Notamacropus eugenii: one gene and its partners. The protein of the gene in region 2 binds, or shares a complex with, the protein of the main gene of each other region. Links are inferred from orthologs where the notes say so. Each region holds a gene or a part of one and is shown on either strand. Other genes may lie near its edges. The genes, in order: UNC119, GNAT1 and RHO.

Region 1 (7,324 bases), on a different chromosome or scaffold from region 2:
GAATCTCTGGGAGATTGGGAGAAGGGGGAGGTGTGGGGGTAACAAGGGTAAAGGACAGGAGCAGAGCCCCACTGGTTAACTGCTCATTCTCCAGATGGGACCCTGGGGATCAGGGTTAGGGGGTCTCAGAACTGAAGGGAAGAAGGAAGTTTGGGAGGGATAAATGAATGGGCTGACTGAAAAGGAGAGGAGGGCTGAGGACAAAAGCAGGGTTCCTTCCACTGGCTGGTTTGGCTTTGGGGTTTTTTGGTTTTGTGTATTTTGGGTTTTTTTTTTTTAGATAAGACTGAGGTGAGTCAGCTAGACTAAGACAAGAATAAGGTCTTCTTGAAAGAGAGAAGGGTTATTTTGCTGACCTGAGTTAGCTCTTCCACTTACAACATGAGTGACTTTGGACCAGTCCCTTAATTTCTCTGGACCACAGTGGCCTCATCTGTAAAAGGAGGGGCTTGGAGAAACCCATTCCTAATGTCTCACAGGTTAGTTTTAAATCCTATGATCCTATGAAATCGACTTTCGCTATCAGCACAGAAAATAAAATGTGAGTCAGGAGGGACTGAGATCAGACCCAGAGAAGGACTTCCTGTTTGGTTTCTGTCTTTGTAGTCCCATGGCTCACTATGGCACCTGGAATGCAGGAGGAATTCAGTACAAGTTGAATGAATGAGTGGCCTAGAGGATGAGCTAGGTCCTGGTGCCCCATCCTCGGCTGAGGAGGCTGGCCAGAGGCTGGAGTCAAACCAGACAAGTCCAGGAGAAAGGCAAGGAATGCAAGACAAGATGGGAGACCTCGAGGCTCCATGAGCCCACTCCTCAACAGTAGCTGTTTCAAGCATCCTCCAAGTCTTCTGCACAGGGAAATTCCTCCTTAGAGCTGACCTGCCTTCTGCCTATCACAACTTAAGCAGAAACCCTTTCCTTAAGCCCTTTCCATTAGATAAGGGCTCCTTGAGGGCAGGGCCTTTCTTTGTATCCCCAGTGCTTAGGGAAGTGCCTGACACATAAAGGTGATTAATAAATGCCTGCAGACAGACTGATGGATCTCTCTCCCTGGTCTAACCACATCCAGCACCATATACACATTTTCCTGTTTCTTTTCAGTCTGGGTCAGAATGCCCAGTGTCCCAGGGGAACAGTCCAGCCTAGGCAGGTCCTTCCTTCTGTGTTAGGCCCCAAACTCCAGGGTAAGTGGCTGATTGAGAAAGAAGTTCAGGGAGATAAAGGAGGAAGGAGTCTACTCCAGCTTAGGGTAAGAACAGGCCAGATTGGTCTCGAAAGCAAAGAGAAGAATCCTTGGGGAAGCCCACCTCTAGTAGGACACTGTGTGGCCCAAGCCACATCACATACTAGACCCTACCCCACTCACCCTCCTTACCTAAGCCAAAGAGGTCTAGACTGGCCAGGGTTCCACAGGGTTCCACCTGGGTTCCACGCCTTGGACCCTTGCAAAGGGGCCCAGGGCCAAGCCTTGCTCCTACCTAGCTTCTCAGGCTGTAGTGAAAGACCTTTCCCCTCCACCCTGGATGGTGGGAAAACAGAGGTGTCCCATCCTGTCTCACCCTTTCCCACAGGCTCTCTGCCTTGTGACTTCATCTGAGCCCTCTTTTTGGCCCTTAGCAGAGACTGCTTAGTGACATACCCTGTACCAACCATTATGTAACGTTTAATGGGTGTGAGCTGTCTCATCAGCCCGGCTGGGAGCTCCTTGAGAGATGAGATTGCTTTACATAGCTAGGCATCCCTGTATACAGTAGGCACTCTCTTTTGATTATGGACATACTCCCTGTCTCATTTCTTTTTCCAGATATCAGGATCCTGGAGGAGGAGAAACTGAGGCCTCAAGATCATCATTTCAGGAGCATTCTGTGATACCTAGCTCCAGGACCCAGAATTCCCTGATGGTAACAGTCAGCCAACTCAACAGATGCCCGGTGGCAGCAACCAGGGGGTTACAGGTAGACCTGCCCCTAGCCTGGAGTCTCCAGAGACAGCTTCAAAGTCAGGTGCAAACACCCCCCAAATGCTTGTCTAGGGACTAGAAGATGACAGGGAATACTTGGGCATACAGTAGCCCCTCTGTTGCCATAAAAAGGCTATCCTGAGGTGCTCTCTTGGACTGGGGGGGTATTGGGCCACTGGCTTAAGACAGAGAGATTAGTGTTCAGGGTCACCTCATTGACCTCAATCCCTAACAAGTAGATCAGAGACTGCTCCCGGGCTGGGAGGAGGGGCGTGTACCTGGAGGGTCCTGCCAGCCCAGGTCTCCCCCGCACGAACTGGTATTTTACCCCAAAGTGCCTCCCCTCCCCCCAATCCTAATGCCCAGACGTGGTGAGGGTCCACTCAGCAAGTACTGGGCCCTCCTTGAAAGTCTAGGTCTGATCTAGAACCTTGCTGGGCAACGCAGCTAATTCACCCCATAGCAAAGAGGGTACAGGAGGAAAGGAAAGACCACTGCCCTCACTGCCTTGCCCCGTTCAGTCTAAGTGGAAACGGGGGCAGGGGCCAAGCCCATAGTGAGCAAAAGGCAGCTCCCAGGAGGGAGGATGGAGAAGAGAAGGTAGGACAGGGTCTGAGGTGGAGAGAATGGGTGGGGCGCAGGGAGCGGAGAAGAGGATGGAGGGGCGCGGCTAGAGCCCACGGATGGGGTGGAGATGATGGGGCTGGGGCCGGGGAGGTGCGCGCAGAGTGCATGGTCCAGGAGCCTCCCTGGGGACGCAGCCCTCCTCCCCAGCCGCCCCCCACGCCCCGGAGCCCCCCACGCCTCCCTCACCGCACGTGATGCGCTGGAGCCCCAACACATCTTCGGGCCCGATCAGCGCCTTCCTCCGCAGCGCCAGGGGCTCCGGCTCCGATCCCGCCTCGTCGTCCTGGCTGCCCGTGGCCCCTGGCCCGGGGTCCGACCCAGCCGCGGCCCCGGCCCCGCTGCCGTCTCTCTTCACCTTCATGGCCCCGCTCCCGGCCCCCGGCTGCCCCTCGCACCGCCGCGGCCGTCCGGAGCCCGCACAGCGGGGAAGGGGAGGCAGCGCGATCTGCCCGGGTCTGTCCGGCCCAGCCTGGCCTCTCTACTTCCCCAGCCCCCCACCCTCCCCCCGCGGCTCCTGGCCCCGCCCCGCCCCAGGTACCTGCTCTCTGCTCCACCCCAAGGCCCGCCTCGCTGCGCGCCCCTGGACCTACATCCCCAGCCTTCCTCCCTCGGCGCCTCTCCCTTCGCATGCCCTGCGCTCGTCCCTTCTCCCCACCCCCAGACTTATCTCCGAGTCCCCCTCCCCCCACCTCGCCGCTTCACCCCGAACGCGCAGGGAACACCCTCTCCCCCAGTGCCAGCCTCAGTGGGAGGGGAAAGGACAGTCCACTTGGGAAAGCAGATGGCTCAAAATAACGTTCAGAGCTGGCACCAGGGCCTGGGCGTGCGTGGGAGAAGGGTGAGGACCATTCTGAGCAGGGTCCCTCCCTAAAGGGGAACAAAGAGATCTCTGAAATCCCATCCCAACCGGCCTCTAAGGCCCCAAGGGGCGCCTCTCATCCTGTGTCCCTACCGGACCACCCCCAGGAAGTCAGGCTTAAGGTCTCGGAACCAAGGCTGCCCGTGCCCCACTCCAGAAAAAAGACTAAGGGGAGACACTGAAGAGATGTAGGGGGAGGCAAAGCTGGATTTTCGAGGGCCCAGTTCAACCAACTGAAGTGGATGGGGGAGGGAACAGGGCACCCAAAGGCCAGATGGCATTTTGCTTCGGCAGTGCCAGTTCTGGGAGCAGGGGAAGGGAAATTACGAAGGCCAGAGCTGTAGAGGCCAATCTCCCTTCTTCAGTCCAGGAGGCTGAGGCTCAGGCCCACCTGCTGTGCCAGACAGCAGAGGGCAAGGGGAAGGCCAGAGAAAAGGACTGGCAATCTGTTGCAAACCTCTCCTAAGGGGATATCTACGGCTTTCCCCCACCCAAGGGGGCAAAAGGAGCCCCAACCTGGGCAAGGCCAAGTGATTCCAGGCCTGCAGCTAGTGATGCCTAAGCCATCCATAAGGAGGCTGAGAAGGGGGAGTGATTTCATAGAACAGGGGTTCAGCCATCACTTCTAAGGGAACACCGGCAAATGTTGGTGCTTTTTTGCCTGGAGCAAGGCAATGATGAGGAGTCTCCCATTCCATACACTTGGGGTGGTTTCCTCCACCCTGAGTCTTTCTCTGTCCAAGTTTGCTGAGACACGTGAATCATTGGCCCAGTAGCAGTGTGCCACCATTCCGTACCCTAAGAGCCTCAGTTTAAACCAAGAAGTGAATAAAACATGGGCAATTCATGGAGGGCCAGAAGACTCCTAAGACTTTTATTTCCTTTTCAGTTTCCTCTCTTTCTTTCCCTTTACTCTCCCAACCCACCAAGTTGGCTGATCCCTTATGAGGGAATTGAATGAAAGAGGTCCTGGGCAGAGCACTTCTTGGAGGCCCTTCCCTTTGCCCACCCACTCTCCCACCCACCCAAAGGCCTGGCCTCTGAACATAAGGACATGCAAGTAAGGACAGAGAAGAGTGAGGTTGTCCAGAATGGGGCCAGGCCACTCCCAAGAGCAGAGATTCATCTGCTCTCCAACTTGCCCCTCCTTTCCTGAGGGAGCACTCTGCCCCCTCACACACTCAGTCCACCTTCTCAATATCCTTCCTGACTTTTTGGTTCTCCACAATAATCTTGATCATGGAGAGAAAAATGGGCACCGCCATGGGCAGGAAGAGGGGGATGTAGATGGCGAACTTCTGGTCATCAGGAAAGTAGAGGAGGTGGAGAAGGGAAGGGTCAAAGAAGGCCTTCTCAGAGGAAGTCACCGCCTCTTGGCTGGCTCGGAGAGCAGGCTTCAGGTTCCCTTCAGACAGCGCCACTGCCGCCTCGTGGAAGGCGTCCACTGCCCGGTACACCTGGGCAGGAAGACACTGATCAGCAGAAGGGCCTAAGCTAGGCCAGGGGAGGGGAGAGACAGCAGTTTAGTGTCTGCATGCCACTGACGTCCTGGGTCACTCTGGGAATTCACTTAAAAGGACATCCAACACCCTCACCTAACCCAGGAAGGGGAAGGGCAAAAATACAGGGTGATCCCATGGGCTACTCTGAATCCCTCCAGGTATCACCAGGATTCCCTGGGGGGCTACCAATGCCCTTCACAACACCATGCAGAGGCTGCATAATCATCACAGGACTCAGGAGGCTGGAGGTGCCACCTGAATGGGTCCCTTCCCCATCCTACAGATGAATAACTTCCACCTTGGGATTCTCAATCTGTTGAGTCAGATGCCCTCTGCTAAGTCAAGTCTTTCCCCGACTCTCATCCCTACCAACCTTAGCCCATAAGTTCCCTCCATCCTGCCACTCAGGAAACCCCTGGCCCCATCCAGTGTCACACACACAGACACAGACAGACACACAGAGACACAAACAGACACACACACACACCCAGAAAGATCCCACTTATTCCATGTTTCTCATGACCACTTCCAGACCCTCCCTCCACATCATTCCCCTTTCAGCTTCATTCAATCCTTCTAGATCACTTGGACCAAATTCTTGTTGCTATTAACACTCCTGTCTCCAGGCTATATACTCTGTCCTTTCCCAAGGGATTCAATCCTCGTTCAGTCATCATCTTCACCCCAAGACCTGCACCCCATACTTGGGGACTTTAATATACATGCTGATGTTCCCTCAAGCATCGAGGGTTCTCCAGTGCAGGGAGAGATTAAATGACACACCAGAGAGAAGAGAGCCCAGGACAAAGACTTGAGATGCCCATAATTAGTGCATGGGGGTTGGCTGAAGATCTGACAAAGGAATCCAAGGAGGGTTTAGGAACCAACCTTAACCCCCTACATTCACCGTCATTTCAATTCTGCTGCTCAGAGGGGTGCTCATACTTTAAATTGCACCATCACCCATAATGGTGCCAACTCCAATTCCAGAAGATAATGCCCCATCCTTCCATCTCCACCTGCTCCAATCCTCCTCCGTCTCTTCATCTGTCCTCCAAATCCATCCCCTGTGCCTGGGCCTCCTTTCTCTCCCCTTAAAGTCTTCCCCTAGAGATGCCAGCTTGGCTGGAAACATCCTCAACCAGTCAATGGCCAGGCCCACGTCCATCTGCTTTCCATGCCCTGACATTAGTGTTGCTGAACATTGGCAGACAAAGCACCCAAGTGAATGTTCATCTCACCTGGGCCTTCCAGCCCAGTGCCACTAGTCTGATTCTTCCAGCTTGATTCGATCACAAAGCAGTTCCAAACCTTCCCTCTCCTCCCTCCTGAACTCCCTCCTCTTCCCCATGACAGCTAGGTGGTGCCATGGTGCACAGAGCACTGAACTTCAGACACCTATTAACTGTGACCATGGGGAAATCACTTCACCCGACTGCCTATTTTGACATTTAAAATGGGGATGGAAAAGCACCAACCTCCCACAGTTATCATGAGGATAAAATAAATTAATATATATGCTCACAGAGGGCTATATGAGCTCCACCCCTCCTACTACACACCTCAAAACTCCTGCACATTCATGTAGTCTCTTCTGACTCAATCTCCGAGAAAGCAGTGGTCCTTTCCTTTGCCAAGGCTCCATCTATACCTCTGAGCCTCCTCTTCCCTCCTGTCTCAGTCTCTGACTTTCTATCTGGTCCACTCCCATTCATAAAAAAATCTCCACTAGACCCGTCATCCCCTTGAACTATTACCTTCTCTCTCTCCTTTCCCTTTCAATGTACTAAGATGCTAGAAAGAGTGGTCTCCTTTCACCCCCTTCCTCCCAACCCCTCTACTCAACCCAAGCTGTTCTCCCCAAGGTTACTGACAAGCCTGAACCACTAAGTTCCATGGTACTTCTTCTGCCCCTACCTCCTAGGCTTCTGCACCCTTTGCCCACCCTTCCTTTCCTTCTGAATACTCCTCCCCTCCCTGGGACATGGTCCTCTCCTGAGAATTCTCTGCCAGCTTTTAAGCCAGCTCCCACACACTAATCATGGGCATCTCTTAAGGCTTTGTCCTGGACCCTCTTTTCTTGTGTCATTCAAGGGTTGCTGGCAATCTCCTCAGCTCACATGGCTTCAATTATCAACCCTACATAATGACTTCCAAATTATAAACCCAGTACTAATAAGCTCCTCCCCTCATCTCTGGCCCTGAACTGATGTTCTCCAGGATGTTCCCCCACACTCTGTCCAAGGTGCTGCCGTCCTTTCATAAACTCCATCCCCCTGATATGGTCCTGCAGGTTCTGTTCCCTTCACCTGTCTCCCATCCATCTGCTTTCCTTGCCCCTCTCAGGGGCCACCCTGCTCCTGCAAGATCTCATCT
Region 2 (7,210 bases):
AATTAGGGCAGAGTGAATGTGAGCGGGGGTTTAGCCTCCTCTCCCTGAACCTCCCCTTTACCCCCCAGAGTATTTTCTGCTACAGGGAAAAAGCTGAGTTTCCACATTATTTACCTCAAGAGAGAGGCAACTAAGTGATTCAGTAGCTAGTGCTGGGCTTGGAGTCAGGATAAAGTGAGTTTGAATCTTAATTCAGACACATACTAGCTGTGTGACCCTGAGCAAGTCACTTAACCTCTGTTTGCCTCAGTTTCCTCATCTATAAATTTGGGGATAATAAAAACACCCACCTCCCAGGATTGCTGTGAGAATCAAATGAGATAATCCTTGCAAAGCACTTAGCACAGTTCTTGGCACGTAGTAAGAGCTACATAAATGCTAGCTATTATTATTCTTATAAAAATCACTTGGCAAACCTTAAAGATATTATTGTCATTATTAATCCAAAATTCCATTGTAGTAAGCAGGGCAATTTTGGCCAACCTCCCTTGAGTCCCACCTCTGGGTAGTCTGCCAGCAGAGCGCTTGGTTTCTCAGGGGCTATGCCAGAGGAAAGAAGAATCTCGCAATTTCCACCAGGGTGGAAGGGACCATCAGGTGATAGAGTCTGGGGTCCCAAGACCAACCCTGTTAAGAAGGGAGAGGCTGGCCGCTAAAGGACAAATTCTCTGGCCCTGGTGACCCATGAAACAATACAACAAACATGCTCTGGGAATGTGTGTGAGAGAGAGCCAGACCTTTGTAATTCAATACCCAACACATTTTAAATGTCCTTGGGGAGTTGGGCTAGCTGAAGAGTCCTGTAGACCACAGTGAAATGAAGATCTGAGGCTCTTGGGAGCTTAGAATTGGAAGGGACCCTGGGGTCATCTAGTCTAGTCTCCTTATGTTACTGAGCTCAAGGGAAGGGAAGTGACTGGCCCAAAGTCACATGAAGATCAGGGACGGGAACACGGCAGCTCTGACCCCAAACCCAATGCTCTTCCCACCCAAGTAGGTCAAATCCTTCTTTAAGGTCATGGCTGCCTCCGATGTATCTGTTTAGTAAATGGGTTTGTTTGTTGTTCAGTCCTGTCCAACTCTTTGTGACCCCATTTGGGTTTTCTTAGCAAAGATACTGGAGCAGTTTGACATTTCCTTCTCCAGCTCATTTTAAAGATAAGGAAACTGAGGCAAATGGGGTTAAGTGACTTGTCTAGGGTCACACAGCTAGTGAGTGTCTGAAGCCAGGTTTGAATTCAGTGAAAGGAAGAGAGATCTATCCACTGCACCACCCAGCTGCCCTGGATTATGTAGATGGAATTTGCTTAGAGTGAGCTGACTTTTATTCTTATTACAAAAGAACTCCCCCCAAGAGCTCTGGCTTTACAGAGTGCTACTCCAGTGGTGCATTTAACTGTGTGCGGAGCAGATTATTTGTTTACAGATACAGAAAACCAGGTACACCAGGGAATTGTCACGCTTTAAGAACGGGCTTTGTTACTTGCTGTGTGACCTCTAGCAGCTCAGTTAATCTCTCTGGGCCTCACGCACTAACCTCTTATGTAAAATTTGGAGTTGGATTGTAAAGTCTCTAAGATGCCTTTTGGCTCTGACACGCTGTGATTCTCAGGATTTCCTCATCTATACAATGGGAATGATAATCCCTGCCCTGAGACTTACCTTAGGCAGAAATGAGGCCCAAAGGAGTAACCAATCTGCACATGCTCCGTAAACTAAAACGTCCATACATGCATGGTACCTTGACATTATTGAGCTATAAACCTGATTTACATTGAGGTTCAAAGCCAGAAGCAACCTTACAATGACAGTACACATTGTCTCTAGGACCCGGGCTTTGGCTGCTGTGGGAACCTAGAGAGATGAGAGTTCTCTCTAAATTATTTGAGAGGTTAACTGACTTTCCCACAACACATAGCTGGGAAACGTGAGAGGTGAGATCTGAATCTCATTATTCCCAATGCCAGCCAGGTCTAGCACATTCACCACCAACTGCTGTCCCCTTCGTTTTCCACATACTAAGAACTTAAGCCATGTTTTTTAACTTGAATTAAGTTGAATAGAAGTGAAAGGCATCTTAGAACACAGAAAGTGGTTTTAGAGATGATCTAGGCAGTCCCTTGTGGTGATGAAGAAGAAAATAAGGTCATGGGGAAAGGGAGTTGTCCAGCATCCCACAGCGTATTAGTTATTGATTTGGTACCCCAACCCAGCTCTCCTTGATTTATAAACCTTCTTAGAAGCCTAGAGATGGCCTCAAGTAGAGCCCCTGGTCTTCCCAGCACCCCCAGAAAAAACATTCCACTTTTGGGAGAAGGGCCAGGGATGGTGGAGGCCACTATTAGATTAAGGGGCTACTTTTGCTTTCTCCCTCTATTCATTTGTTGCTTGAACATTTGGGGTGCCTGTTATATCCATAATCCAGTGACAGAAGCAGTCTAGACTGGCCAGATAGCTTAAATGGTAATTATTTTCTTGGCAAAATGTTCTCAGATAGGCTGAGGGTGGGAGTGGGGGTGATTATTTTTTTACAAAAACTTCTCTGGTTAGAAGCTACTATGCTTTTTTATAAAAGGGTTTTCTCTTTCTAGAAAGAGTCTTTCAGAACTCCCATTACAAGATTGAGAATGAGGCTCAGTTGTCACCAAGCTGTCTGGGTTTTCACCAATCCAAAGGAAGGGACCTCTGGAACCCCTGCCTAGCCTATCAGGAAGGGGACAGCATCCCCTCTATCCAGATTTCTTTTCATTGAAAATGTAGGATTTCCTTGCAATGGAATTCCTTGCAATTTCCTTCTTGTCATCTGGGAGGCCTGAAAGGACTTGCCCATTTTCCCACCTCCCCAGGTCTGTTGAAGATCCCTGCCCCAGGGCCCCCCTCAATTTACCCAGTAGAAGCAACTTCACTGTCCTGGCATCTTTCTCGGCATCTTCCTTTAGTTTCTTTTCCAATTCCCTTGAGTGTTTCTCCTCAGCGCTGGCTCCAGCCCCCATCTTGCTGGCCGGGGTAGGGTAAGAGGGTGGTCTAAGAGGCGGAAAATGTGGACCTAAATCTTCTGTGGAGATGGGACCTTCACACCTCGGGCTTAGCCCGGGGCCCCTGGCCCTCTTCCCTGGTACCTTCTTGGTCCCAGGAAGTTCGAGGACAGAGTGAGTGGGGTCCTTCCATATCTCCCTCCCGCTGGGGACTGCTTAGCAGGATTTAGGGGCAAAGGGGCTGCCTAGGAACCAATCAGGGCCAAGGACAGGTGAATCCGGCTCAGGAGAGCCCCTGTCCCCCTCCTTCCCCAGACATAATCAGGCAGTGGCCCTGTCCCCAATCCCTTACAAGCTGACTCTGTGCTTTCCCCCTTACCTCCAATCTGGGGGCCAGGGAGTTAAAGCATCTTCCTTCTCAGTCCTGGAGAGAGAAGAAGCTTCCCCCACTGACATAGGGATTGTCTTTTCTAGGAGTCAAGCATGAGCCCTTAGCACAGTTCTTTGTACACAGTAAGCGTATAATAAATGCTTTTTAAATTCATTTGTTAGAAGAAGCCAGAAATAACCTTGAACCTGGAGGTTAGCTCCGATCCCCTCCCTGGACCACCCCCAGAGTTCTCCATGGAACCTTGCAGAGACCCTACTCCTCCCCATCAACCACAAAACTGGGACTCAGGAGGGGGACCTGAGGAGTCTGTCCCCTACCCTACATCTTGCCCTCCCCAAAGTATTGGCAGACAGAGCCTTCCCCATCTCTTCAAGGTGATCATGGGACATGTGCTTGGACACCTTGCTCTTAGACTCCTTCCTGGGGGGGTGATTGAACCTCAGGACACCAGATCCTGGGTGTAGGGACAGGAGGTCCTGTGACAGAATGACCATGAACCAGAGTGCTGTGCCTGTGTGCACATGACTGTGTGTGACAGCATCTGTAATGTCATTGTATGTCTACATGTAACTATGTGTGTCTAGATTTGAATCTGCAAGTATGTGTGTCTGTGTACATTTATGTGATCCATTAGGTCTAGTTGGGTGGAAAGAGGGAACTGGTATTTAAAAGCACCTACTGTGTTTTGTAAGTATTATCTCGTTTATCCTCAGAACAACCCTGGGAGCTGGGTGCTACGACCTCCTTTTTTAAATTGAAGATACAGTCATTTGTCCAGGTCACATGGCTAGCAAGTATCTGAGACCTGATGTGAGCTCATATCTTCTTCATTTTCTCAGGACTGCAAAAATATTTTTTATTTTGAATATGAAAATGAGCAACAAACATACATTTTAGTACAGATGAACAAGAAAGAAGATTATATAAGAAAGTGTGAACTGTTCTATACACTAAAAAAGAAAAACACATGTCACATGTATGTAATACATATATAGATACATTTTATATACATCTATACCTATATATCTATATATATCTCCATGCCTTCTCATTCCGTGCAACTTTTATCCATATTGTTCCCAGAATATCAAGGACATATATATATATGCATGCATGTATGTATGTAGACACGCATATATACATGTATACATGTTATATATAAATATAATAAATAAATAATCTAAAAAAATGTGTGTGTCTACATTCATGACATTCCAAAAGTCTTCATGCAGTTCTAAGCTATAAAACCTTACAGAAGAAAACAAGCTGAACCGTTGCAGAGTGAAATGAGAAGCACAGTCTGGAGAATGGTTTACAGGACGACTGCAGTAATAATGCAAAAGAGGTCAGCTTGGGAAGAATTCAGAATGCCAACGAGCTCATATCCTCCTGACTCCAGGGCTGGCATTTGATGCACTGCCCCACCTAGCTGACCTTAGAGGTCATCTATTCCAACCCCCTTATTTTATAGAGGCCCAGAAACTGAGGCCCAGAAAGAGGAAGGTCACTTAGCAAATTAGTGGCAGAACCACTAATGGACTCCCAACCTAGGGCCCTTTCACTATACCAAGGATAAACTCAACCAACATTTTCTGAGCACCTCCTGTGTGGGGTCCTTGATCTAGGCACTGCAGAGGAATACAGACATAGATTAGACTCACGACCTATCTTTAGGGAACTGGAGTCAGTGGGAGGAGGCAGAGCAGGCACAGACCTGAGTCCCACTCCCAGGGAAACCACACTGGACCTGGAGCAGGCATGGGAAGAACAGATCCAAACCCCATCTCCAGGGAGTTCCTAGTCTGGAGGAGAAAAAAGATCACACACCCCAAAACACTTCCATTGGTAGCTCCATGATCCTCCAGGCTCTTCTCATTCTGTGCAACTTTCATCCATATTGTCCCCAGAATATCAGGAATCCACCCAATAAGTGGGAGGCTTCCTCTGGTTCTTTTAATATCTTAGGGGCTTAGCATTTAGACAGTCCATCTGGCATCTCTCGATCTCAATGCGTGTCTTTTCCCCAAAATACAAGTCCTTGGTAATGTCTTTCCTGTTACTTCTCCATTTCATTTTTTTCCCAACACAGCCAACATTTGACATATACCTACTTTGTGCAGAACACCATGTTAGGTGCAGAGGGAGATAGAAAGTTTAGTTCCAATATGAGCCCTACCCCCATTAAGCTTATGGTTTAATAGCAGGATGTGACTTGCACACAAGTTCAATTCTTTGATGTATGTGACCTGATCAATGTGAGTATTCCCACCAATGAGGCATGCCCTCTCATCCTGGGTAACTCTTCTCTGTGTCCTCCCACTGATTCTCTAAAGGGGGTCTAAACGAATGGGATGGGGACCGTCTAGTTCTTTTGACATTGCATGAATATCAATGGAGTTGTCCATTGGTTCATGACCAGATCACCCTCTTTCCCGGTTACCTATCTGTCTAGTGACATTCTCTGGCAAAATTCTTAGCAATAAACAACTCTCTGACATTATAGTATGGCCAGGTGTGTATAGCACTCTGTATATACACAGCAAGATTTTTCCATTGTCCTTTGGTGCATTGATCACTTGGGTTCTCTCCAGATTAAGGCATCCCAGGATCTTTTGGAGGCCATAAAACATGACAATTTTGGTAGTGGTAAACAGGAGGTCATTGAAAGATCCGACATTTTCCTAAATGGAATCTTCTCCCATCTTCTTCAGCTCAAGATGAGACCATAGGCTCATAGGCTTCACAACTCGAGTCCAATCCCCTAGTTTTACAAAGGAGAGAATGGAAGTGACTGATCTAAGGTCACATTGGAAATAATTGGCAAAGCTGGGATTCTAATGTGAGTCCTCTGACTACGTAAATCCGTGTACTCTTGTCACGACACCAAGCTGATTTTCTTTTAGTCCTGATTCCGTCACGGACATTAACATGAGGTGTGACCTTGAACAAGATTCTTCTGCCCTCTCTGACTCAGTTTCCCCATCTGTAAAATGAGAAGCTTGCCCTCCAGTCCTAACTCTTCGGCTGGGTTAATTTCCTCTCATGGCTCACTTGGCCTTGCCATCTTGCTGAGGAGTCTACGTGGTCACTAGAGGGCACCAAGTGCTCAGAGACAGAGCCCTCTCCGAGGCTCACTACAGTCCAGACTGAGTCAGGCTAGCCTCAATTTACCCTAAATGCACTTTTACCTTTAAAAAGTTGGCCATAAACTGAAATTTATGAAAATCAAATCTTGCCTTCTTCAGATATTCATTGGAGAGATGCCATAGCTTTCTTATTCTTCTCTATTTTCCCTCATATTTCTTAGAGGACTTTCTCTTCCTTTGTCCCATTGGCTTTTCCAAATAGCCAAGCACTTTATAATTAATTATAAAAACATAAATAATTATAATTTATAATTATAATTAAGGAATCTCAGACTCTGAGGGGTTCATAGGATCATAAATCTACAGCTAGAAAAGACATGAGACCATCTAACCCAACCCTCTCATTTTGCAAATGAGGAAACTAAGTCTCAGTGAAAAGTTATTTATCCAAAGTCACAGGTACCATATAGAAGGATTGGGACTCCTATCTGGGTCTTTTGGCTTTCGATCTTGGGTTCTTTCCATTATTTTCTACTAGCTAGCACTTTTAGGGTGAAAGAGAGGGCTTCCTGACTCTGTCCTGATGCTACTGTCCCTTCCAGCCCCTGCCCCACCTTCTCTCAGGAATTGGGAATAAGTTCAGATGGCACCACTCAGGCAGGCAATGTCAGGCTGACTGACCAGAGCTTCGCCATGGCCCATTCCTCTGAGGGCACTTGAGCTCGGACTATAGACTGACCAATGCCCGTGAGCTCCCT
Region 3 (6,982 bases), on a different chromosome or scaffold from region 2:
AATGTCTCTATTTGTCCCCTCCTCCTTGCCTCCCTCTCTACATTCCACTAACCTCTACATTCCACTAACCTGGACCAGCCGAGGAGGGGTGGAGTAGAACAAGCCAGAGCCATGACCCAAGTGAAGGCGACCCCCATGATGGCATGGTTCTCCCCAAACCTGAAGTTGCTCATTGGCTTGCAGACCACCACATATCTCTCAATGGCCAAAACCACCAAGGACCACAGAGCTATTTCACCTGAAAGATACAATAGAAATGTTTCCAGCTTTAGAGGACCCAGTAGAAAAGCAGGGAGGATGAAAGAAAGGACAAAGAGAGGGAGAGGAAGGAAGGTTGGAGTTCAAGACCCAAATAAATCCGGACATTCTCTTCAGCTCCCTCATAATATTATGCACGATCAGCTCAGTACAAAATTGGGCAAGAGGCAAAATTTCTTTTTCTGCCTTTCATACCCCCACCCCCATTCAGCACCATTTATATCCCAAGTTCTAAAAACTTTCCTGCTGCCCTTGGCTCCAACCCCTTAGCTTGGAAGACATCTGATAAGGTTGCTCTCTGGGAGGTATTAGGGACTTAATTAGATCCTTGCTTAAGGATATTTGCATCTTTAAAGAAGACCCTGGGAAAGAAAGGGTAATGTTTAACCCAAGGGAACAGTGGAATTTCAGGGTCAGGGATCTTTTCTGATCACACCTCAGATAGCATGTGATAACTAACCATTCAGAGACCCTCTTGTATCTCTTCCACCTTCTGGATGCTCCATCACTAACTAAGAGGTAGAAATGGTCTGTTATTCTATATAGAGAAGGCAAGCTGGAAGAAACTGAGACTGTCCCTTCAGAGGAACTTCCCCAGGGATCTCAGCTGTACCCTTCTGTGGCACTCATCCACCCACACCCATATTCCTCTATTGATCTTCTGCCCAGAAGTAGCCCAGGTCTAGAGCTCAGGGGAGCACAGCAGATTCCTACCCATTAGAACTGTTCAAAAATGGAATGAGCTACCTCAAGGGTTGATGAGTTTCCCAACTTTGAAAGTCTTCAAGGAGAAGCTGGAAGACCACTTGTCAGAAATATTTATAGAAGGGAATCTTTTAGGGTATGGGTCAGATGAGAGAGTCAATAAAGTCCCTTTCAATTTCAGATTCTTTGATTCTGTGATTCTCTCTTTGTCTAACAGGCATAATCACAAAATCCTTTCTGAATGCAAAACTCTGGAGTATGCCACACACAGAGATGAGAAAAGACTGCATCCCTGATCTCAGAGAGCTAATAACCCATTGCGGGATGTATGAAAACACAAGCAGACCAAGCAGCAGGGTGTAGACAACTGGATTTGTACTCAGAGGACCTGAATTTTAATTGCAGCTCTTCTCCTCTCTAGATGAGTGCCTTGGACAAGTCTCTCTGACCTTCACTTGCCTCCTTTGTAAAATGAGAAGGTTAAACTTCATAATCATCCAGATACAAATCCTATAATCCCATAATCTATGGAAAACACCTGAAGCACACACTTACAGGGTAGTAACTCCTGTGTGTACCTAAAAGGGCACTGGACCCAAGTTCCACTAACCTTGGATCTAGCCCTGCCACTGGGCATCCTTGGGCAAGTCTCTGGGTAGGGATGGATGTCCTGGAGCCAGCTCCAACCAGCTAATTAGAGCCAATGGCTAAATTTTCAATGTGACCATTTACATCTCAAAAATCTATAAACCAGGGCTTGATCTGTTTGTGTGTGTGCGTGTCTAAACTTAAAAAAATGATGCAGGAAAATGTTAATAATTCAGAGAACTGGTTGTTAAATATTTATCAGCACACCCTTGTCCTGAGACCTTAGTTTCTCTCACCTGTAAACACAACGAGTTGGAATAGATGATCCCAAAATTCCCTTCCAGCCCTAAGCTGGAATCTCTTAAGGTCCCTTTCAGCGTTAAATCTTTGAAATTGTGAAATAGCTCATGCTTCAAGCTTTCCTGGCAAAATGTTGTGAGTGGAAGGGGGATACATTAGCACTGGTTAGAGCTATGTCTATGTCAGATACCTTTACTGTTCTTTCTTCTCTCCAAATCATTCCCCTAAAGTATTTCATTGCTCTGAAAGAGCTCTCAAATACTCCCAGGTCCCTTTCCCATCTTGGAACTGACATGTGTTTGGGGAGAGGGTGGTAGCAACTAAAAAGAGCACTGGATTTCAAGTCAAAGGACCTAAGTTCAAATGCTGGCTTTACCCCTTGCTACCTGCATAACCTCAGACAAATTTCTTCCCCTCTCCTGTTCACAGCTGCCTCACCCGTAATATGACAGGGTTGGTCGAAATGACCTGTGCAACTATAAATCTTTTTTTAAATATTTCTTCCTTTTATTGATCTTTTTAAAAATATTTGTTTTTGATATATCCCTCCTCATTCTTCTATCTACTGAACCATCTCTTGTAACAACAAAGAAAGGAAAACAAGGCTTTCCTTTGAAAAGAAAGAGGAAAAAAAGCAGTTTGGAAATATTAACCAACACCATGACTGTATTCAACAAATTCATGCATTGTTCTACACCCATAATTCCCCACCTCTGCATTTAAGAGAAGGAGGCCTAGCTCTAAGCCTAGAATCTTCAATTCTGCCAGTATCCCCTATTTGACCAACCTCACACACTCAGCCCTAGTCCCGGAGATCTTCTCCTCCCTCTCCAACGATGGATAGACAGGAAGGGGATCTCTTCATCATTTTCCTAGGGAACCACTCACCTCCTGTGGTGGCGAAGAATCCTTCCAGGTTGCAGCCAGTGGGTCCAAAGACAAAGTAGCCGTGCAGGGAGGTATAAAGGGTGGTTGTGAAACCACCAAAAACCATGAAGAGATCAGCAACTGCCAAGTTCAGCAGGATATAGTTCAAGGGCGTTCTCAGTTTCTTGTGCTGAATAGTTACATAGAGGGTGAGGAAGTTGATGGGGAAACCCAGGACAATCAACATGAACATGTAAGCCGCCAGGCAGGAGAACTGCCATGGTTCGGCCAGATAGTACTGAGGCTCCTCAAAAGGGCTCCGCACCACACCAGTCTTATTGGAAAAAGGGACGTAAAAGTTGGGTCCCTCTGTGCCATTCATGGCTGTAGCGCTGCTCTCTCTGCCCTGGGCCTAAAGGGGACTGGCCACTGACAAGGACCTTCCTCCTCTCCTTCCCAGAGTGGGACAAGAGGCTAGATCAGCCACATTAGAAGGAACTGGGAGCTGTGGCTTGAGGTCCTTATAAAGTGACCCCCTCTGGGTAAGCCCTCCTTCTATGGAGTCAGCACCCAGAAGATTCAGGGCATAATTAATCATAATAATCCAGCTAGGTTGGCAAGCACTAATTGGCTTCCCTGGAAGGCACCAAGGTGACTCTTGTTAACTACAGAGACAGGATCTCTTGGAGTGGGAAAGTTTAGGCCTGAGACCCCCCAAGGAAGGGGTCCTGAGGAGTTGAGTGGATCTCATTAATAAGTAGCTCTGGGCCAAGGGTGTCCCATCAAGAAAGGAGAGCTAAAATCATGTAGTGCCTTGGCCAGGGAGCAGCTGTGTGATGCCTGAAAGAAACTAGGCTCAATTAAAAGAACACAAAAATGTTCCTCTCCCCTCGCCCTTGCAGTGTGACTGACTCTTATTCCCCTTTTATTTCCTGGGCAAGGCTGGAATGACCATTTATGGATCCCAAAAGACTGCATTAATTTGCTCAACTATTTTCTGAATGAAAGTGGCCTCTTAAAATGGACAGAAGGGAACAGAAGACCAATGAGACAGGGATGAGACGAGGTCTGGGTGAATGCGAAGCCCATCCTCATTTTGCAAAAGAAGAAGGAGATTTTGTCCACCCCGTCAGACGACTGTTTGGGAGGAGTGACCAAAACTGTTGCCATAGAAGGGAAAGAGGCCTGGATTAGAGAAGGTCCCAGAGCCTGGCTCTAAGAGAACACTCTGTGGACTCAGCAGCGCTCCAGCCTATCTGGGCCTCAGTATCCTTATCTGTAAAATGGAGAGAATACCTACTATCCTGATTGCCTCTCAGGCTTGTGGAGATGCTCCTCATTTGTGAAATGCACTTCCTTTGTGGAAAATGCTTCAAAAAGTACAAACAGCAGCTAACTTGGAGAAATTTCTTCAAGGTCTGGATCTACTTGGACATTTCCTACTTGTCCAATTACAGTGTTGGAGAGTTGCGTGAGAAACCAAGCAACTTACCTATTGAATGGCCCAGGGACCCTACTTGAACCCAGACCTTCCATCCTCCAAAGTCAGTTTTCTATCCTTTCCACCATGCTGCCTGCCACTCCAGAGAGAAAAGGCCGTGTTCCCTAAGCAAATAAATTCAGCTGCGCTTACTCCACCATTCAAGGCACAGTACCAGAAGCAGGATAATACATTGGCCAGAATGTTGTACTTCTGCTCAGGAAGATGGAGGTTCAAATCCCACTGCCAATGTTGACTCCTTCTAGCCTCAGTTTCCCCGCCTATAAAACAGATACAATAATACCTATGGTACAGAAACCACCCAATGGGGTTTTTGTGACGTTTAAAGGAGATCAAGTAATGAAAGCACTTTGCAAACCTGAAAGCACTATATGTCTATTTATTATTATTAATTATTAATGCTTCTCAAACATTTATCAGCTTTCTAGGATACTATAGTTATTTAGAGATAGGATACATCCACTCTCCTAGAATGTGGGCTTCTAGAGGACTTTTAGGGCAGCCAATCAGGCAGGGGCTGAGCAGCCCCTTCAATTTCCAGTTCTTTGTCACTGCAAACAGAGCTGATGTAAATATTTTTGTACATGTACATCCTCCCCCTCCCCTTTTCTTGTTGATGCCACCTAGTAGTGGCATCACTGAGTCAAAGGCAATGGCGTGCTAATGAATGTTTAACAACCGGCTTTCAAGATGGGGGGGATATATGAACAACATATGTTTAAGTGAATTATTAATATTTTCTCCTTTCTTAAGTCTAGAAAAAAACAATAAATGAAGGTATGATTTCTAACATATAAATGCTCACATTGAACATTTAACAATCAGCTCTTCTGCTCTTGGAGCTAGCTCCAGCACAGCCCTGGAAAGTAGATGCACAGTTTAATACTCTGGGGGCATATTTTCAAATTGCTTTCCAGAGTGGATGGACTAGTTCAGAGCTCCACCCACAGTGAACGAATAGACTTATTTTCCCACAGCCCCTCCAGTATTTCATACAAACTGACTCTAACTTACCTTTCCAGTCTTATTGCGCATTATTCCCCTCCAGCCCCTTATAGTTCAACCATGATGACCGTTTTGCTCCTATATACCACATCCACTGTAGGACTTTGGGTCAGTGTTCTTTGATGTCTAGAAAGCACTCACTTCACCTGCCTCTTAACGTTCCTGCTTTCCTTCAAGACTCATCTCAAATTTTCCATGAGATGCTTCCTAATTCTCCCCAGCTGCTAGGGCCTTCCTCTTCCACCCCCAGGTTATCTTGTACCTGCTTTCTTTGTGTGATACATACATACATACACACACATGTGTACAATACCTATATGTATATACATGCATACACATATGTGTTGACTGCATGTGTACATGTAGCTGTAGATGTGTGCACATATGCATATACATGTGTATTTATATGTGCCTGTGTGTGTGTGTTTTGTCTCCCCTGTTAGAGGATAAGGACTTTCATTTTTGTCTTTATAATTCCAGCATTGAGCACAGCTCTTAGCATATAATAGATACTTTTAGAAGTCTTGTTGGTTGATTGATTACATAAATGTTTGCTGCATGAGTGAATATAAAATGTTATTAATTCATCTAAGAAATACTGATTACCTAATATATTTAAGGTACTGTACCAGGTGTGGAGGGGGAGAAGATGAGAGAAGTATGTGTGTGGGGAGGAGGATACACACATATACGCACACACATACATACATATATATACATACACACACATATAGCATATAGCAAAATCCCTGTCCTGAAACAGCTTGCAGGCTAAAACGAGGAGACAAGGCAAGCATACATAAACATAAAAATAACAATAGAAGAAATATCACGAGGAAATTTTTAGACAAAAGTTTCCATGTGGGCAAGGTACATGTGGCCTGGGGTTTTAGGAAAGCTTTTGTGGAGGAGGTGAGATTTGGGCTGAGCCTTGAAGATTGGGAAGGATCCAGTTGGAGAAGGGGAAGAAAGTTTGGTGAGTGACTTGGCAGGGAAGTGGAACAAGGCAGCATGAGCAGAGGACCAGGGTGGAATTGTCATGCATGGTTAGGAACAGTAAATTTTCCAGTCAGGTTGGAGCATTGAGTCTCATTGGCGAGTGTTTAAGGAAAATCTAAGACACTAAGCCAGAGTGTGGAGGACCTTGAATGTCCCCCTGAGAAGGATGGGCTTTATCCTGTGAGCAGTGGGGAGTCACAAAAATTCAAAGTGTTCTTGTCTTCATTATTTTCACATCTTTGTTGTTGGTTACCCTCAACCTGGCTCATCTGCCAAGATGATCTGTGTGGTTGCTGTGTCTGCTACAGTTTCTTGGAACCACAGGTAAGAGATGGGTGACAGATGGGCACCCAAGGTGTATAAGCAGCTCTGAAAAGGGCTTGGCAAACCCTCACACCAGAGGTGGTAGTCTGCCTCAAAGCCATCAGTGAGTTAGAGATGTCTACCCCAAGCAAACAAAGACTTCCCCACATAGAATGGGCAGATGAGAACATTTGTTCCAAGGGCCATGAAGTTGGCTAAAGCAGGCACCATGGAGCGCCTAGAGTTTGGTCAGACATCAAAGATGCCAAAGTCACCTACTGCATCCTGGTCATCTTGACATCTTTGTCTTGCCACTGGACTTCACTAACTCTGGAAGAGTGAGGCTAATGACTTTGCACAACTGCCTCTCTTTAATCCAATGATGTCATTGGTCCTTTTCAGAAATGAAGAACAAACAGCAACCCTTTTGTATCTTTATGGAACTGGTCTCTGAGA

Evidence for each region.
Region 1: the proteins of GNAT1 (region 2) and UNC119 are in contact, whole or in part, in a crystal structure (PDB 3RBQ), measured with the Homo sapiens proteins. The link is inferred for Notamacropus eugenii from reciprocal best matches to the Homo sapiens genes GNAT1 and UNC119. Residues at the interface, in NP_000163.2 of Homo sapiens: Gly2, Ala3, Gly4, Ala5, Ser6, Ala7, Glu8; in NP_005139.1 of Homo sapiens: Asp87, Phe88, Val89, Arg90, Phe91, Ile105, Lys106, Lys107, Gly126, Arg127, Phe128, Val129, Tyr131, Phe137, Val147, Glu163, Leu172, Ser218, Tyr220, Asn230.
Region 3: the proteins of GNAT1 (region 2) and RHO are in contact, whole or in part, in a cryo-EM structure (PDB 6OYA), measured with the Bos taurus proteins. The link is inferred for Notamacropus eugenii from reciprocal best matches to the Homo sapiens genes GNAT1 and RHO. Residues at the interface, in NP_851365.1 of Bos taurus: Ala27, Arg28, Asp189, Leu190, Val312, Glu314, Tyr316, Asp333, Ala334, Asp337, Ile340, Lys341, Asn343, Leu344, Lys345, Asp346, Cys347, Gly348, Leu349, Phe350; in NP_001014890.1 of Bos taurus: Leu72, Arg135, Val138, Val139, Lys141, Ser144, Asn145, Phe146, Arg147, Val230, Ala233, Gln236, Gln237, Ser240, Thr242, Thr243, Lys245, Ala246, Glu249, Val250, Met253, Met257, Asn310, Lys311, Gln312.

Annotation. Positions count from the first base shown.
Region 1 is NC_092873.1:35,937,853-35,945,176, forward strand, and holds the start of UNC119 (protein unc-119 homolog A), read right to left. Parts: upstream 3,056-7,324; 5' UTR 2,949-3,055; coding exon 2,774-2,948; intron 1-2,773. Other genes in the region: PIGS (GPI transamidase component PIG-S), read right to left, coding at 4,628-4,903. UniProt on the Homo sapiens protein: Involved in synaptic functions in photoreceptor cells, the signal transduction in immune cells as a Src family kinase activator, endosome recycling, the uptake of bacteria and endocytosis, protein trafficking in sensory neurons and as lipid-binding chaperone with specificity for a diverse subset of myristoylated proteins.
Region 2 is NC_092872.1:5,370,775-5,377,984, forward strand, and holds the start of GNAT1 (guanine nucleotide-binding protein G(t) subunit alpha-1), read right to left. Parts: upstream 3,024-7,210; 5' UTR 2,994-3,023; coding exon 2,888-2,993; intron 1-2,887. UniProt on the Homo sapiens protein: Functions as a signal transducer for the rod photoreceptor RHO. Required for normal RHO-mediated light perception by the retina.
Region 3 is NC_092874.1:431,909,335-431,916,316, forward strand, and holds the start of RHO (rhodopsin), read right to left. Parts: upstream 3,101-6,982; coding exon 2,740-3,100; intron 239-2,739; coding exon 70-238; intron 1-69. UniProt on the Homo sapiens protein: Photoreceptor required for image-forming vision at low light intensity. Required for photoreceptor cell viability after birth.